Alligator mississippiensis: one gene and its partner. The protein of the gene in region 1 binds, or shares a complex with, the protein of each later gene. Links are inferred from orthologs where the notes say so. Each region holds a gene or a part of one and is shown on either strand. Other genes may lie near its edges. The genes, in order: OS9 and UBE2J1.

Region 1 (9,227 bases):
CCCGGGCTCCGAATCACCTTGAAATGGATTTTCCGGTGGAAATCTGCAAGGGGCCAAAGCCCCAGGGGTGGGGGAGGAAGGGGCACATCAGGGTAGAGCTGGTGCCAGGGACCCCAATGCCCCCAAATCCTCCAGCTGGATGAGGCCATGGCACAAGCCCTTGCCCCGTGCCCCCCACACCTACGCGGAGGCACTCACCTGCCAGGGGGCCATCAGGCGCCTTTACTGTGGGTTCCTCCTCCTGTGTGGGAGCCAAAACAACACAACATGGTGGGGGCACGGCTGGGGTCACATGCCACCAACACCTTTGCAGCCAAGGCTGCTTAACCCCATGCTGCCCAGCCAGGGCTTTGCCCCCCCCATACCTGGCTGGACACAGACACACAGTGCCCCCTGCTGGCCCTGCCAGGAAGGAAGCAGGAGCCAGGACAGGAGTCAAGGGCACCCAGAGGATGGGCAAGGCACAGCACCCATGGCCCATGTACCTTGGTGGGGTCCAACGGGTCATCTGCTGTGGGTGGGGGGTCTCGGGGGCCAGCATTCTCTGCCGGGCTGGGAGCAGAGGGCTCACCTGGAACCAGACAGAGCAGTGCTGAGCGTGGCGCTGGGAGTAGGGGGGCCGTGCCCGCAGCTGCAGCCCCATCCCTACCTGGCACCTCCAGCCAAGCCTCCCACCCCCACTCAGGGAGAGAACCTGCCCCGCCCCCCCACCATAGTGAGTGCCTCCAGGTGGGTGTGGGTGTCCTTAAAGGGGCAGCGCCCCATTTGCAACCCAAGGATGCTCTCCAAGTGGCCTACACAAGCCAAGGCTCTTCCCCATCCCACACAGCTGAGGAACCCAGGAGTCCGACTGCCGTACCATCGAGGGAAGGGTCTTCCCTGGGTGGGGGCTTGGCCGGGCTGGGGTCCTGCTCACTCCAGAGCCGTGTGTCCAGCGTCCGTAGCTCCTCCGAGATCTCCTCCACCTTGCGCTTAGTGTCAGCTGAGGGAGGCCGAGGGCAGAGATCACACATGGGTGGGGGGGCAACCAGGCCCTGCCATCCGTATTGCCCCCCTCCCCCAGTCCGGATACTCACAGACTTGGGCCTGGACATACTGGAGGTACTGGGCAGGGCTTAGCGCAGGCTGGCAGCGGATGGGCTGGGGTGTGGCAGCTGCGGGTGGGCGTAGGAAGGGGTGGTGGCAGATGCGGGTCGTGTGCACTGTCAGCACATAGGAGCACGACTGTGGCTCATCCACCCGCGCGATGTAGTCACCCGAGCCCTCCTCGCACAGGAACTGGGGGGGAGGTGCAGGGGACATTAGTGTGGCCAGATCCCCCTACCCCCCAGGACCCCCCCCAACAAAGCACCCAGCCCCCCCCCCCCCCCCAATGCCTCCTCTAGCCAGAGCCCCTCACCCCCAATGATAACCCCTGCCCAGAGCTCCCTGGCCCACCCCTCCCCTCCCCTCCAGCCAGAGGCCCCCCACAAGCCCCTTCCCAGCCAGAGCCTCCCTGAGCCCTTTTCTAGCCAGATACCCCCACCTCGCAGGGTGTAATGACTCCTGGCAGCTAATTAGCACCCCCCACCCAATCACCACCCCTATGCCCACCCCAGAGGCCAGGAAAGCAGCACTGGGGGAGGACGCTGCCAACCAGCCAGGCAGTGAAAAGCCAGACCCTACCCCCCACAGCTGTTCCCCACCTTACCCGGACCTCAGCCTCTCTGGCGCGACCATTGAGGTCACACTTGGAGCCGTTGACGTAGGTCTGGCTATGATAGCGCTTGAGACGGTGCTGCTTCGAGGCCTGGGGGTGGGAAACCACAAGTCACTTCCTGCTTCAGGTGGAGAAACTGAGGCACACAGGTCACGGAAGAACCATAGAAAGTACATAGGTTCTGCTGCCAGAAAGCCAGGCCCTGCCGCCACTCACGAGCCAGCCTGTCCAGTCCCCCCAAGCCCACAGGAGACCCCAGCCCCCACTTTGCCCCAAAGAGCCCAGCCCCTGCTGATGCCTTCCCCTCATCCCACAGAAGCCCACCCCCCCATAACCCCCTATGCCCCGCACCTTGGCAGTCTCATTGTCCCAGTCAAAGGCAGATTGATAGTAGCCCAGGTACAGGACATCCCCCTTGATCTCCGACTCTACAGAGCCAAGGGCAAACAGTTACAGCCCGCACACCTGCGTGCGTGCAGCACCAGCATGCACGTGCATGCAGGGACACGGGTATTGGCAAGCCAGGCTCAGCTCTGTTATGACACTCGGGGATCCCTCATCCCATCTGGGCAAGGGAAGGGGAACATTAAATAAAGTGCGTGTAGGGGTGGAAACTGGCCACACAGGGCAGGGACACACGCATGTATGCACATACATGTTGCTGGGCCGGCAACATAACCCTAGCAGGAGTGTGGCCGGCCCGTGGTACCTTCAATGTGGTACTGCTGGATGTGCCTCCCGTAGCAGAACTCATATGTCCACCAGTCCTTGGTCTGGGGGAGGGAAGGTGGGTAACACGTGTGACTCCGGGCCCCCTCCAGTCACACATCACCCACCCCCCTCTCTGAGCCTGCCACGGCCTGCCTGAGCCTCGAACCAGTGGGCGCAAAGGGGGGGGGGGGCGACCCCCACCCGCTCCCCAGCAGGCTTTGTGGTGGGCACCTCCCATCCCACGTCCAGCCTCCGGTGCAGGCAGGTGCCTTACCTTACGGAGACAGGGCGCAGCACCCATGGGCCGCAGCAGCTCCATGATGCCCAGCCCGCTGTAACCCCGGGGGTCATCTTCAGGCTCCCGGTGGATCTTGATGGCAGCCGGCGGCAGGCGGCATTCGTACTTCTGCTTGTACTTGGAGGAGATGGTCACCACGTCCTCGGCCCGGCTCTGGGGGAGTGGGATACAGGGCCATCAGGGTTCTCCTGGGCTCTGTGTCCAGCCACCGGCACCAGGACCAGGGCAAAGGGCACCATTGGCTCCTCCCTGGCCCATCTGACCCATGACCCTCATCAGCAGTTTGCTCGTAGCCTCATGCAGCAACCCTGGCTTCCCATGCTGCTGCCCCCATCCCTCTTGTACAACCCGGCCCAGAAGTGCAGCCACTTCTGGGGTGAAGCTCCAGGGGCAGAGCACAGGCCGGCCACCAAACCTGACGCGGCAACCTCAAAAGTCTTGCTTCTGCTTTCTAGAAAGATTTGCCTACAGAGCACCGCGATCAGATGACTTTAGGAAGGAGGAAGCAGGGGCCAGCAAGATACCGTTATCTCCAAACCCAGGCACAGTTCACCTTCTCTACCCTGCGCTTCCCCATCCGGACCCAGGCAGCCAGAGCCGCCAGCAACAGTCGCTGTTGGTGCCCAGCCCAGCTGGGGGTTTGCGCCCTGCCCTGCCACAGCCAAACAGGAGGTAAGGGACAGGGGGCACGGCACGTGGGGAAACAGAGGCACGAGGTGGGGGGGTTAGTGAGACCTAGGGTGGGCTCGGGAAGCAGCTAGTGATGGGTGCCCCCACCCCAGGGCACAGGGGAGACGGGGTGATGGGAGGTGCTGGGACCAGGTCAGGATGAAGCCCCCTCAGGGAGTGCCAGGGTTTCATAGACGGTAGGGGCTGGAAGGGACCTAGCAGGTCATCGGGTCCAGCCCCCCCCCCCCCGCTCTAGGCAGGAAGACGACTGAAGTTAGATAGACCGCAACCAGGTCCAGTCTCCTCTTGAAAGCCTCCAGGGTAGGCGACTGCATCACCTCTGGAGGAAGCTTATTCCTCAGTCGGGACTCCCTGACCGTGAAGTTTTCCCTGGAATTAAGCCTGAAGCGGTCTGCCGGGAATTTGTATCCAGTGGTCCTGCCCTTCCCCGCGCTGCCCTAGCGCACAGCTGTTCACCCAGCTCCCCACGCACTCCTCCTCCCGGAGAGCGGCAAGCCGCTATCAGGTCCCCTCGGCCGTCTCTTCTTCGGGCTACAGACGCCCGGGTCCCTCAGCCTCTCCTGGCGCGTCCCCGACCAGGCGGGTGGCTCTTCTCTGCACCCGCTCCGGTTTGCCCACGTTGAAGCGCGGCGCCCAGAATTGGACGCTGCCCTCCCGCTGCGGCCTCACCAGCGCCGAGCACAGCGGGGGGGGGGGCCCTCGGGCAGTCTGACACGGGGGGGGGGGGCGTGTCCCGGGGGGGGCGCCCACCTCCCCCACAACCCTAGCCCGGCCCCTTGGTCCCACCTGCCCGGCCAGCACGGGCTCGGCCGCGATCTCGATGCCGTACTTGAGGTCGCTGAGCTCCTGCAGGTTGAGCGCGGCCCCGGCGCGGCCCGGGCCCAGCAGCGCCAAGGCCAACGCCGGGAGCAGCACCCACCGCGCCGCCATCTTGCTCCCTCCCTCCTACCCGCCGCCGCCGCTGCTTCCGCCCGTCCCCGCAGGGCCTCGCGCCGCCTCTCCCGCGCCGCCGCGGAGCGCCGTGCGATTGGGTCTCTCTCCCTGCCAATCACCGCTGCCGCTTTTTCATTGGCCGCCAGCTAAGAGCGCGTGAGGCCGGACAGGGACTGTCACCCGGGAGGCTGGGATTGGTCCGCGTCTACCCTCGCAGCGGCAAGGAGGAGCTAGTGGCGTGATTCTGAGCGCTTTTAAAGGGCCAGCGGCATCAGGGAGCCGAGTCCCTGGCGGCCGCTCTGCGGCCGCGGGAAGGAGGGGATTGGTTGAACGAGATCACATGACCCAAAGGAGCTGTCACCGTGCTCAAGGGCTGGGACGAGGCACGTGGGCGGGGCCCTGGGGCAGAGGGCGATGGCCGGCTTGCATTCAGCCTGGGGCTGGGGCTGGGGGGCCACCAGCTGAGATGGAGAGGGGGTCTCTGGGTCCCCCAATGCCCTCTGACCTGACTCAGGGGTGGGATCCTGCTCCGGGGCAGTGGTGCTAGGGCAGCAGCCCTGGGGTAGGGGGGTGATGGCAGGCCTGAATCCAGCCTAGGGCGGGTGGCCCACCAGCTGAGATGGGGAGGGGGTCTCTGGGCCCCCCAATGCCCTCTGACCTGACCCAGAGGTGGGATCCTGCTCCGGGGTGGTGGCGCTGGGGGCAGCAACCCTGGGACAGGCTGGGCAGAGGCCAGGCGAGGCAGCTGGTTACTTCCTCCACAACTGCATGCTTGCTCGCATGCCAAAAAAAGAAGCAGCCAGACCAGGGAGGAAACACGGCCTGCTGAGCACACCTCACCATGGCCCCAGCCCGCTGTACCCAGAGGAAGGGCGAAGGCCGGCCAGGGCCCATCTCACCTGGGATCGGCCTCCGGGTCGTGGGGGGAACCCCCCACCCACACCCAGCGCCACCCCCTTGCCCTGGGCATGGGGTCACTGCGGATCCCAGAGTGCCCGAGGCCACGTGCTCACTCCTGGCCTGGCCACCCGGCTTCAGGGATGTAGCAGCTCCGCACTGCCGGCCTGGTAACTGGAGCTAACCCTGCTCCTGTCAGAGCCATCCATTAGGAGCAGCAAATTAAAAGCTTTTTTCTATGTAATGAATAGAAGATGCGGTTAGGGTCAGGGCCCGGGTGATGCCCTCACCTGCTGCTTCCCAGGCCCCAGATTTGTGGGCACCAGCTGGGCACCAAAGCTGTGGCTGAGCTGGGTACCCCAAGGCTCACGGGCCAGGCCCAGGGGAGCTCCCCTTTCTCCTTCATTCAGCAATAGGAAGGGAAATTCCTTCCCGCTGGTCCACCCCAGAGCTAGCCGCATTAGCAAAGCCTGGCCCCCGGTTCAATGCTAGGAGGATACATGGAGGGTTAAAGCCGGGTGTTCTCCACTCCAGAGACACCCGCCGCACAGCCTGGGCCCAGCCCAGGGAGCAGCCACCCACCCCCGGGAGCACAATGAACCCCTTTGTGCCCAGCCCCAGGGCCACTCGGCACGGACACAACGAGGGGGATTGTTATCTGGGGAGAACATCTGCATCCAGGCCCGGGCTCCCCTGCGGCTCTTGCCTGCCCGCGGCCTGCCAAGCCCCGCCTGGCACCCTGCCCGGCTTAAACACCCGGGCTCAATCCCAGCTAGTTATGAGACTGCGGTGGATCAGGGCCTCTGGGAGTGGATGGAGGGGAGCGAGCAGGGGAGGCCCCCGGGGCAGGGGAATCAGCCCCATCCCTGGCAAGGAGCCTAGGAGGTCTCAGCCCTGGGCCTTGCCCTGCCCTGCTCCTCCAGGCACCCATCCTGCTGCATGCCTCAGTTTCCCCACTTGGGACAGCTGCATTACACATCCCTGCATCCCGCTGTGTCCTCCCCAGCTGGGAGCTGACACGAGCCCCTACTTGGGGGTCCTGACAATATCTCCCCCCACCTCCAGCTACAGAGAGGGGCCACGCAGACCCTCGGGACACCTGGTCCCACTCCCAGCTCAGCACCCGCCCAGGGGATATTGTCTGTGCAGGGCCTGGCGCTGCACCCCTGGCTGGGGGCAATGCACCTAATAATACCCCAGCCCCCCCACCCCCCGGGGTGGACTCCCCCCTCCCCACCCTCTGGGAGCTCCTGGGGGGCCCCGATCCTGGGCACTGCCAAGCAGGGGGGCAAAGGGGGGGTGTCCCAAAATAGCCCCTCCTCCTCCCTTTGTGCGGGGATCCCTTTGTCTGAGCCCAGGAAGCCCCCCCCCCCGGACCCCCGGAGCCAGGCAGGGGCTGGGGGGGGCGGGGACCCGCAGTCAGTCCCGCCGGGGGCCGCCAGGGGCGCCGCCGGTCCCCGGCCGGGGCCGCGCATCCTGCATCCCTCCCGCATCCCGCATCCTGCATCCCGCCCGCGCCGGGCCCCGCCGGGAGGATGTGAGCGAGCCCGGGCGAGCCCCTCCGCAGGGCACAGGTAGGGCGCGGGCAGCGCGCCGGGGGGCTGCGGTATTGCCCCCCCCCCACATGCCTGGCATGGGGCAGGGAGGGGTGGCAGCACTGGGGGGGCTGGATTGGGTCCTACCTGCCCCCCCCCCCCCGGCCTTGCACTGGAGCCAGACAATAGCAGATCCCCCCGTACCCTCTCCTGGCACCCCCCCCCCCCCACACACACACACATAGTGGAATCGGGGGGGGGGGGCTTGCTGGGTACTCTGCCCTCCCCCTCCCCAAAGCCTGGCAGGGGGCAGGGGTGGTAGCAGCCCTGGGGAGGGCCTGGATTGGGTCCTACCTGCCCCCCCCCCAGCCTTGCATTGCAGCTAGACAATAGCAGAGCTCCCCCCCCCCCACACACACACACACACAAGGGGGGATTCACCGGGCACCACCCAAAGGCAGCCGCCATCCGTGCCCAGGCAGGGGGAGCATGGGAGGGGCATTTGGGGCTCTCCCTTCTCTGGTTGCATTCACCCTGGGGTGCTTCATGGGTTATCTGGGTGCCTCCCGCTTGGGTACCTGCCCCCCTTAGGTTCATCCAGAGGCAAAGGGGCATGGGAAGGTGCCTCCCACCAAGGTGGCACCAGGCACCCCCCCCATTTGCCATAAGCCAGGAGGCTGCAGAGGCTGCCCTGGGCCCCAGCCAGGCCCGGGGAGGCACAGACAATGCCGGGTTTCAGCATTGTTCCAGTGCCTGCCCCTGCCCAGGGGCACTGCAGGACTCTGCTGGTGGGGGGGCAGGGCAAGGAGAGTTGGCATCAGAGAGGGGCTTTGCCCAGCTCTGCTGCACCCCACTGAATGGGGGGTCCCCACTCCACCCCCCTGAGCAGGAGACAGGCACTGGAAGCCCAGACAGCCCCTGCCAGGCCCTCTGCACCCTGGGGCTGCACGGTCACCTGGCCCCAGAAGCCCCCCACCCAGCCCAGTGTCTTTCCCCCAGGCTGGTGCTGCCCAGAGGCCATGCCCGTGCCCAAGTGAGGTGAGGGGCTCCATGCCCACGGCCCGACAAGCCCAGGAAGTGCCAAGCACGCGGACCAAGGTGAGCATGGGCAAGGCTGGGGGGAGGGGGCGGGTGAGCCAACCCTTGGCAGGGATGGGGAGCACCCAGCACTGGGGGGGTGGGGCGGGTGGCTGGAGGAGGGTCAGCCCTCCCAGGGCCTTCCTACAATGCCCTGCTGCAATCGCCCCAAGAGCCAGGCATGAGTGAGCAAGGTGCCAAGGGAGATGCCACCCCCTCTGCATCCCACAATGCATTGCAGCTGTGCCCCCACAAGGCAGCAAAGGATGCTGGGATGCCTCCCCCAATGCACCATCGCCTATGAGCTCCTAGCCCTGCCTACTCCGTACCTGCTTGGTGGAGGGGGTCCCTGGGGCCTGGCTGCGGCCCTTGCCCCCCCACCTTGCCAGCCACACCCTCTGGCTGCCTCCCCTCCCCTGCATCCAGGGCTGGGCACTGATTTATTTGAATTGCAAACTCCAGGCTTCTCCTTCCTGCCTAAGCAGCGCAGGGCTGGGTGAGAAGGCATGGAGGGGAGACCCACCCACCCTGCAGGCCCTGTCACTGTCCTGTTGCCCTTGGTCCACCTCCTTCAGGCTCGTTGCAGTGGGTGGGAGAGCTTCTCCTCCCCAGAGCTGGTTGGTTGCATCGGGGTGCAGCACTGGATGGGAGCAGCATGATCCAGTGCCAGGCCACGTGCAGACCTCTTATGGGTGCCAAGGGAGAGTCGTGGGGAGGGAGGGTGGGAGCCAAACAACCGCACCAACTAATTAGCAAATGAGGGCATTTGAGCCAAGAGGTTGCTTGGCATTTTTGTGTCAGTCCCAACCTTCAGCAAACAGGATTGGGGGAAGTGGGGGGGGCTCACTTCCAGCAGTGGAAACTGAGGCACGGAGCAGGTCGGACGGGCACCCCTGGATTCCCCCCAACCCCTGTGGCTCTGGTTGGGGGCAGGGCTGTGCCACTGTTGCCCCTCGCTCCTCACCCCCTGGCAGGTAGGATCCCCTCAGGGAAGCGGACGGGTGACACCCGGGAGTCTGCAGCCCAAAACCTGGCACCTCCCTTCCCTGCCCCCCTCCCATGCAACACCCTGGGGGGTGCTGGGCACGGAGGGAGCCTGGCACACCCTGCAAAGGTGTCCTTGAGCCACAGTTCCAGTGGGGGGGTGAAGGTAATGTAATATGGGGGGGGCTGGCATTGCCCCCCTGGCCACGTATGGGGCGAATAGCAGGGAAGAGTGGGGGGCACTGGCGTTCCCTGCTCCAGCTGCTGTTCCCCTCCTGCCAGAGGCCTGTAGAGGAGGGGCAGCTGCCCCTGCCCAGGGGGCTCCAGCTGGGGCCGGCTGGGGGGGCCGGACAGGCCCATTAAAAGACTCCTGGCAGCTGGAGCAGCAGTTTCCAATTTCCTG
Region 2 (8,348 bases), on another chromosome or scaffold:
AGAAAGCAATCAGATTGGTCAGGCATGGCTTGCTCTTGGTGAATCCATGCTGACTGTTCCTAATCACCTTCTCCTCCTCCAAATGTTTAGAAGTAGATTCTTTGATGACCTCCTCGATTTTTTCAGGGACTGAGGTGAGGCTGACTGGTCTGTAGTTCCCTGGATCCTCCTTTTTCCGTTTCTTAAATATGGACACTATTCCTACCCTTTTCCAATCACCCAGGACCTCTCCTGATAGCCATGAGTTTTCAAAGATGATCGCCAGTGTCTCTGCAATCACAACAGCCAACTCCCTCAGCACCCTTGGGTGCATCCCATCTGGCCTCATGGACTTGTATATTCCCAGTTTTTCTAAATAATCCCTAACCTCTTATTTTGTCACTGTTGGCTGCTACCTCCTCCCCAAACTGTGCTGGCAGGGGCAGTAGTTTGGGAGCTGACCTTGCTTGTGAAGACTGAGGTGAAAAAGGCATTGAGCACTTCAGCCTTTTCGGCATTCTCTGTCCCCCATTCAATAAAGGAACCACATTTCCCTTGGTCTTCCTTTTGTTACTGACATATTTGTAGAAACCCTTCTTGTTACCTACCATGTCCCTTGCTAGCTGCAACACCAATTGCACTTTGGCCTTCCTGACTTCATCCCTGCATGCTAAAGCAATACTCTTATACCCCTCCCTAGTTGTTTGTCCAAGTTTCCATTTCTTATAAGCTTCCCTTTTGTTATTTAGTTTACTGAAGAGTTCCCTGCTTAGCCAGGCTGGTCTTCTGCCATATTTGCTAATCTTCCTGCACATTGGGATGGGTTGTTCCTACACTCAGTAAGGCTTCTTTAAAGTACAGTCAGCTCTCCTGGACTCCTCTCCATTTCAGAATGGCTTCCCAACCCTGAGTTAGTCTGCTTTTCTGAAGTCCAGGATACTTACTTTGCTGCTCTCCCTCTTTCCTTTCCTCAGGATCCTGAACTCAGTCATTTCATGGTTGCTGCTGCCCAAATGCCATCTGCTAGTATACTCCCCAACAATTTTTCTCTGTTTGTGAGCAGCAAGTCAAGAAGAGCACAGCCCCTAGTTAGATGCTCTGGCACTTGCACCAGGAAGTTGTCCCCAACACTCTCCAAAAACTTCCTGGATTGCCTGCGCACTGCTGTATTGTCCTCCCAGCAGATGTCAAAGGGACTGAAGTCCCCCATGAAAACCAGGGCCTGTGATTGGGAAACTTCTGCTAGCTGTTTGAAGAAAGTCTAACTTCTTATGTTTACCCTGAAGTAATCAACAGGCTAAACTAAATCTAGTTAGGCGCTAAAGGGCTGCGTGACATCAGATTTCTGGCTGTTGACTGGGACTAGCAAATAAATATCAATCTCCTATCAATACTCCTGTATTGCACATAGTGGTAACCCTTAATCTAAAACTGTCAAAAATAGGTTTTAAGTAAATGGAAAAGTTTATTTGTAGATTGCAGGTTTGTGAAATCTTTTTAAGCAATAATATTTAGTCTGCTGCAGTTATGATGACTGTGCAATTCTTTTTGCTAAAACCTGCAGTTTCTTATTCAGTGCAGGTGCTTCCTTTGGCTATAAAAAGTTTATGCCATAACCACTCTCTAGCACAACTCTCAACACCCATGAAGTGATAAGGGAAGTTCACATGATTCTTGCAACTACACAAGAAATATTGCTGTACTTGAATTATGCATTTATTCACATAATATTTGCATTCAAAGTACTTTTCATGGGGGAGGATTTGTGGGCACAGATAATAATACTCTTACGATAACAGAAAAAAGTTACAGTGAATCCTAGCATAGTTCTCCCACTTAGCGAATCCGAGTGAGGGGAGAGGGGAACACTGTATAATGGAATGCTCCTTACTGATCCTGAACAAGATGGCTTCATACACTTTGACCCATATCTGCAACACAATCCGAAAATGTCAAAATCCTGCTTATTAAAGTACTGCAGCTTTTCTATATATCCCCAAATTGTGACCATTTCCTTGGGCATATAAATGTTACAATGGAAGAGCAGTAGGGATGGCTTTTGTGCACCAGCTGATGTAATGGGTAATTTCTCAATTACTCCCTTCCTGAATATTTTTATAACCTTGCCCTGTTGAATACATCCCACCCTAAGGTAAGATAAGGTTTCCTGTGCCTTCAACTGCTGGAACTAGAACTGGAATTTTGCCTTGTAGGCAAAAAGATTGCTTGTACACTATTCCACTCAGAAGGTGGACTGAAATGACTATCTGTACCAGCACCAACTTCAGGAGTGGAAAGCAAAGAGTAATTTTTTAAACTTCTGAGCTAGAGATCAGATGAATGGTAAACCAGGATTCAGGACTAACATTTTCAAATTTGGGTGATAAAACATAGACACTTAAGAACATCCCTGAATTAATCCATTTGTCCACAGTATCCAGTGAAGTCAATGGGAACTTGGTGTCTCTGCAAACTAGGCCGTTCCTATGTGTGTAACCTTTGGTGTCTACATTTAAAGTTAAAACAAACCAAAAAAATGTCCTGAGGGAGCTGTGGCTTTCAATTTCGTGGAAAAAACCTCAAGTTCACCTTGTTAAACAGCTGGCAAGACAACGTTGAAAAAACCTGTACAGTTATATATTTATCAGGCTCTTTGAGAAGTTTGGGAAACCCTGGGATGTTCAGCCAAGCTATGTAGTAAGAGTATGGACAGCTGGTAAATTCAAGTCCGTACCGCCTCATCATAATCTATGGGTGAAGTTTTCCCCTTCGTTGCTGTTCTTGGAAAGAAGATGGTGTCAACTTCCAAGGCCCCCCTCTACTAATTTAGATTAGCTACACGTGCAAATGAACTCTGGCACCTTAAGGGCCAACCAGCTATCAAGTTATTGCTGGAAAGTGTGTAATAACTTCATAGCTGGTTTCTAGCCAGCTTTAATTTGCATGTGTAGCCTGTGCCCCCACAGCTGGGAGACTGCAGCTGCTGTGATCTCCTAGCTGCCAAGGCACCCTGGGGCTGCAAGTCCCACACCTGGCAGGATGCTCAGGCCCCGCTGCACCCTGCATCCTGTGGGGAGCAAGAGTCCTATCAGCTACAAGAGCTTGTTATTTGCCAGTGTAGGGGCAACGTGGGATGGCGATCCCGAGCTCCCGCTGTACCTGGAATAAGGCACATAGGGGAGGAAGGATTTGATAAGTCTTCAAATACCTGAAGGGCAATTACAGAGGAGATGGAGATGGGCTTTTTTCTCTGGCTGTAGGGGACAGGACAGGGAACAGTGGCCTGCAGCTTCGTCAACGGAAACTCAGGCTTGTTTTTTTTTTTTTTTAAGGAAAATTTTTCATGTCCCAAGTCAAATCAGCCAAATCATTTCCAAATCTGTGAGTCATTCAAGAACCATATGTAACCCTATTACTGGCAAACATCCTCCACCCCTACCCCAGGCTTCGGATGCTTCCAAATCCTTTGGCAGCCGTCCTATGGGCAGGCCCAAGCCAAGAGGCTTGGGGTTCGGATGTCCCCGGGTTTCCCTCGCCCTCAGCCGTAGGGCCACAGGAGCAAGCTAGCGAGTTTTTTTGAAAAATATCTATTTATCTATATGAGGTTATATCTATATCTACACTCCAAGTATTACTCCACAAAGAAAACCATAACCTGTTACCAAAGCCGCACCCGCGCAGCCTGCACAAAGGCCCGCAGGACACACACACACACACACACACACGTGTATCTCCTTCAACAGGGAAAAGGTAGGCTGGAGAGAACTAGGAGGGAGTTTCGGACTACGAGGGCAGTCAGGCGCAGGGACAAGCTCCCTAAAAAGGTGGTGCAATCTGCATCCTTGGACATTTTCAAGAGCAGCTTGGACAGACCCCCGTCCGGGAGGGCTTAACCAGGAATGAACGGGACGTGAACTCCATGGCGCAGCCGGGCCTCTTCCCGCCCTGCTTTCCCTGCCGCAACCGCAGCTCCCCAGGCACGTGTTGAGGCAGGAGGCGGGAAGGACCCCCGCCGGGGCAGCAAAGGCCAGACCTACCCCGCCAGACCGCCGCGCTCCGTCCGCGGGGCCGGGGCCCTGCTAGCTCGCAAACTTTCACTCGGTTTTGGACGCAAAGCCGGGGCCAAGGCCCAGCAGCTATGCCCGAGCCAGGCCTGTCCTCGCCCCCCCGCGCCAGGGGAGGGCCGGGCTAGGCCGAGGGGCGGGCGAATCGGCGCCTCCCCCGCCCCGCCCCGCCCCGCCCACTGGCCTCAGTCACAGAGGAGCCGCCGCCGCCGCCGCCGCCGCCACGTCAGGAGGCTCAGCCGGCTTCGCCCGCCCCTTCTCTTCCCTTCCCTTCTCGCGGCGCCGCCGGGCCATGGAGACCCGCTACAACCTCAAGAGCCCGGGTAAGCGGCCTCTCACCCCCGCTACGCTAGGCTGCTTCTCCCGTCCGGCGGCGGCGGCTCCTTGGCACTCGAGGCCGCGGTTTGGCGCCGGGCGCAGGCCCTGGCCTGGACCCCCGGCCGGCTGGCCCTGTCCGCGCCTGCGCGAGGCCCGGGGCAGCTTCCAGGCAGGGCAGGGCATTGCCCCCCAGGGGCAGGAGCTGGGGGCGGCTAAGCTCACATCTGCGGGGGGGAGGGGCGGGCAGGGGAGGGACGGGACTGAGCTGCCCTGGCCTAACCCTGGAGCCCGGGGCATCCATCGGCGTCTCCCTTCAAGCCGCTGGGGCTCCGGCTGGCCAGGCCCCAGGCAGCCTCTGTCAGACTGAGGGCGCCCCACCCGCGGGGGGGTGGGAAACGTCAGCGCTTCATTCCCCTTTGGTTTTCCTTTCCCGGCTGCTCGGAGGCACGGGAGCGGTTCCCCTCCAGCTGGTGGAATCCGTGGGCAGAGGGTGTCCTCATGCCCGACCTGACATCTCTGGGTGTCTCGGCTGAGTCGCGCTCGAGTGTGTACAGCGCTAACATTGCGTGAGGGCCCCCACCTGCGGCACCCATGAAAGGCTCGAGGGTGCCTTAGGGAGGATCGCTGTTGTTGGTAAATGTGAGGTGGAATGAAGATGGGGAAACGTGGAGTGGGGGTGGGGAGAGTGCTGAATTTTTTTAGGGATGCAACCATCAGAAAACCAGGCCACCATCAATGAAGGCATAAAACGGTTGGAGAGGACAGTCGTTCTCATTAAAGGCCCTGACATGAGCCTAGCATTTGTGGCTGCTGCTAGCCATTGTGTGCGACTTTAAAAACAAGGGATTGTACGTTTGGCTGCAATGTGTAATCTGTTTGGCGACCTGCAGCTAACTCCCACTGTTCCTTGTACGTTGCCAGTCTCCTCCAATTCCTGTCTGAAGCCGCAGTGGTATTGTCAGTGCAAGTGGAGTTGGGCATGACCAATTGGTTGACATGCCTGGCCTTCCCCATGAGCAGTGACTCTTGCACAGAAGAAGAGAGCAGACCTTATGTCTGTAAACAGTGGACCTTTGTTGAGGGGTGTGCTCTCCCCCTGGCATGCAGTAAAAGGAACTATGTTATGTTGTAGACAAGAGAGAGGTAGTTGGTCATGGGAATGTGAAGTTAGGAGGCCCTGCATCTATTAAAAAAAAAAAAAAAAAGACCCACCCGTCTTAAGAGGCTGCTAGCCGGTTGGTCCAATTTGCACTTTATAGACTAAGAACACATTATAGGTGTTCCTCACTTGTGTGACCCAGGCTGCACTAGAATGCAGTCAGTTGTTTGGAGTAATTTAATTTTCAGTACTGAAATGTATGGAAATGAAAAGTCGTTTCATAATTTATTTTTATTTTTTTTTAATTTTTTACCTCAGCTTAGAATTTCCTGGCTATTTTCCGTGTTAATTTATTGACACTACATGGGCTTCTGTACATAGTTTGACTTTTGTCAAAAACATTTTGTATATAGCAACACAGTAGTTTCCTCTTATGTGTTCTTTCCCATGTACCATGCTTGCACTGAAATAGATACATTTTGTTAATTTGCTTTTTAAGTACATGTCAAAAAAGCTTATTTCACCAAATGCGTAAGCTTCAGAGTAATACATAGGAATAGTTTATAGTTATAGCAAACACATTAGACATGCCTGATCATTTGAGAAGAGTGCTGGAGGGGACCTTACAGTGTTATCTAGTACAGTCCTCTGCTCAAGGTAGGATAATCCCTGACTACGCCATCCTAGCTAATTTTCTGTCTAACCTGCTCCTGGAAAACCTCCAAGGATGGAGATTCCACAATTTCTTGACCAGTCTCTCAGTCAGGAAGTTCCTTTTAATCTCCAACCTAAATTTTTCTTGCTGAAACTTGAGGACTCTGTTCTCCTTTGAAAGAAGCCCTATCAGGTACAGACATTTGGGAGTGATTTAACCCTGGCTGTTCCCAGGTTATTTTTTTCCAGGAGTGGCCTTTTTTTATTTTTGGTGAAAAGCCTGATCATCTGTACACTTGTGGTTTCTCCTAAGAGAGCAGTGACTCTCCCAGGAGAAACTGAATGTCTGTATGAGGTATGTGGCTTTAGATAAGTTTCTCTACCATGAGAACAAACCTGGGAGTATTCTCCCACTTCCTTTCAATGTATACAGAGCTCTATTATCATCACCCTTCAGGTATTTGAAGTGTTATCAAATTCCCCTCAATTTTTTCCTCTCAAGACTAAATAACCCAACACTAGTTCTTTCAGTGTTTACTTGTAAGTCATGCCTCTCAGGCCTCTAATCATCTTCATTGATATCATATATTTTCATATAGCAACAAATACATTAGAGCTGTGACTTCTCAAAAAAAAAACTTGTAAGTAGAAGGGTCACACAGACAAAAGTACAAGATGATAACTTTTTAAAATAATCAACTTAGGAAATCAGACACACTTAAGTATATTTAGGTTTGGTTTATTGCATATGTCAACTGATGAGGCATGCAAGCACACCCATTTGTTATGGCTTGCCACGTCACTGGAAAGAATGGCATTGCACTGAATAATGCAACCTTGGTAACTGGGTGGAGAGAGCAAGTGCCTGTGGTTAATCTGGAAATTTTTTCCCCCACTGCTGTTACAAGATCCTAATTGTGTTCAACAAAAGATGGTTCAAAATGAAACTAGTGGTCAACAGCTGCATGAAATAACAAAATACAGCTACTGTAACAAAACTGAATTCTAAATTCAACCAGCTTGTGATTTCTCCACACTTTTAACTCTTTTGAGTTTAAAAGAGTGCTTTAAAAGATAAAGAACTGAGTTAAACTTTATAATTCAGTTCTTTATTTATTACAAAAACATGAAATGTTTTCAGTCTCTAATTTTATCAATGATTTAAATCAGCAAGCAATCATTCTTGATTTAAATAGTTGATTTTAAACTTTTTGCATTGGTGCTGCTTGGTTTTTTTGTCCGTAAAGATTTTTGTTGGTTGGTACCCATTAAAACATGGTGATTGGCAGCTAAATGTAGCCTTTATGCTAAATTTGGCACTTTTTGCTAATGGGAACATATTCCAGGTGTTTAAGCGCTTGCATAGCATAGCAATTATTCAGCTTCTTAGGGTTTTTTTCTCTCTCTTGTTAGAACACAATGCATTTCATTTTTGGTAGCTGATTAAAAAAATCTTTGGCTGGAAAACATAATTCAAAATACACAAAACAGTATTAAAATCTGTACTTATTAGTTAAATGTGCTAGATATGAGGGTATTAAGGGTACTAAATACATTTACCATTGTCATAAACAAAGATTTTTGTGGGTGATATCAACACACATTACTCTGCTATACTGTTATATTCCCCACAGTTAAATCTAACTCTACTAAGGCAGGGGTATCAAACACAGCCCACAGCTCAGTCCCTTTTTTCTGAATTATTAATAGGTCTTCAATCAGTATCTCAAAACCTACAAGTGTTCAGCTACAGAAATTAGAAGGGTCTTTTGTTGCCTTGTAGTTCCAAGGAGGGTGGGAAGGTCACAAACTTGGTTGGGAGTGGTGGTGAAGATACAGGAAGTTTTCCCTTTTTTCCCAGGAGTCTGTGGAATATCTTTTTGGATAAATACAAGAGCTCTGTGAGTCTAGGAAAGGGAAATGTTATTGTAAGGAGGTGAAGCTGGGAAACAGCTGGCTTACCTGGCAAGCTTTCTGGCATCTCTATGGTATATGCAGTCTGGAAGCAGTTACTCTTAACTTAGGAAGCTAATGTCAGTTTAGAATCTACATGTAAAGTTTGAAATAAGTTGAAAGCAGTTTTGTTGCTTTTATATTTTCCCCTAACAATTTCTGTAGCATTGTAATTCCATTTTTCTAATTTCTTTAATGATTTTTCTCTCTGCTGTTACTGAGACAGCTGCACACAGGTAGGGATCTTGACTTATTGATAACACAGAAGAGAGTGAAAATTA

What was found.
Region 2: OS9 (region 1) and UBE2J1 share a complex: the UniProt entries of both Homo sapiens proteins name them as parts of the HRD1 complex. The link is inferred for Alligator mississippiensis from reciprocal best matches to the Homo sapiens genes OS9 and UBE2J1.

Annotation. Positions count from the first base shown.
Region 1 is NC_081838.1:7,429,930-7,439,156, reverse strand, and holds the start of OS9 (protein OS-9), read right to left. Parts: upstream 4,366-9,227; 5' UTR 4,329-4,365; coding exon 4,185-4,328; intron 2,862-4,184; coding exon 2,685-2,861; intron 2,473-2,684; coding exon 2,409-2,472; intron 2,128-2,408; coding exon 2,051-2,127; intron 1,790-2,050; coding exon 1,691-1,789; intron 1,279-1,690; coding exon 1,077-1,278; intron 983-1,076; coding exon 860-982; intron 572-859; coding exon 486-571; intron 242-485; coding exon 199-241; intron 44-198; coding exon 1-43. UniProt on the Homo sapiens protein: Lectin component of the HRD1 complex, which functions in endoplasmic reticulum (ER) quality control and ER-associated degradation (ERAD).
Region 2 is NC_081824.1:76,993,026-77,001,373, reverse strand, and holds the start of UBE2J1 (ubiquitin-conjugating enzyme E2 J1), read left to right. Parts: upstream 1-4,231; 5' UTR 4,232-4,335; coding exon 4,336-4,366; intron 4,367-8,348. UniProt on the Homo sapiens protein: Catalyzes the covalent attachment of ubiquitin to other proteins. Functions in the selective degradation of misfolded membrane proteins from the endoplasmic reticulum (ERAD) and is essential for cells to recover from ER stress.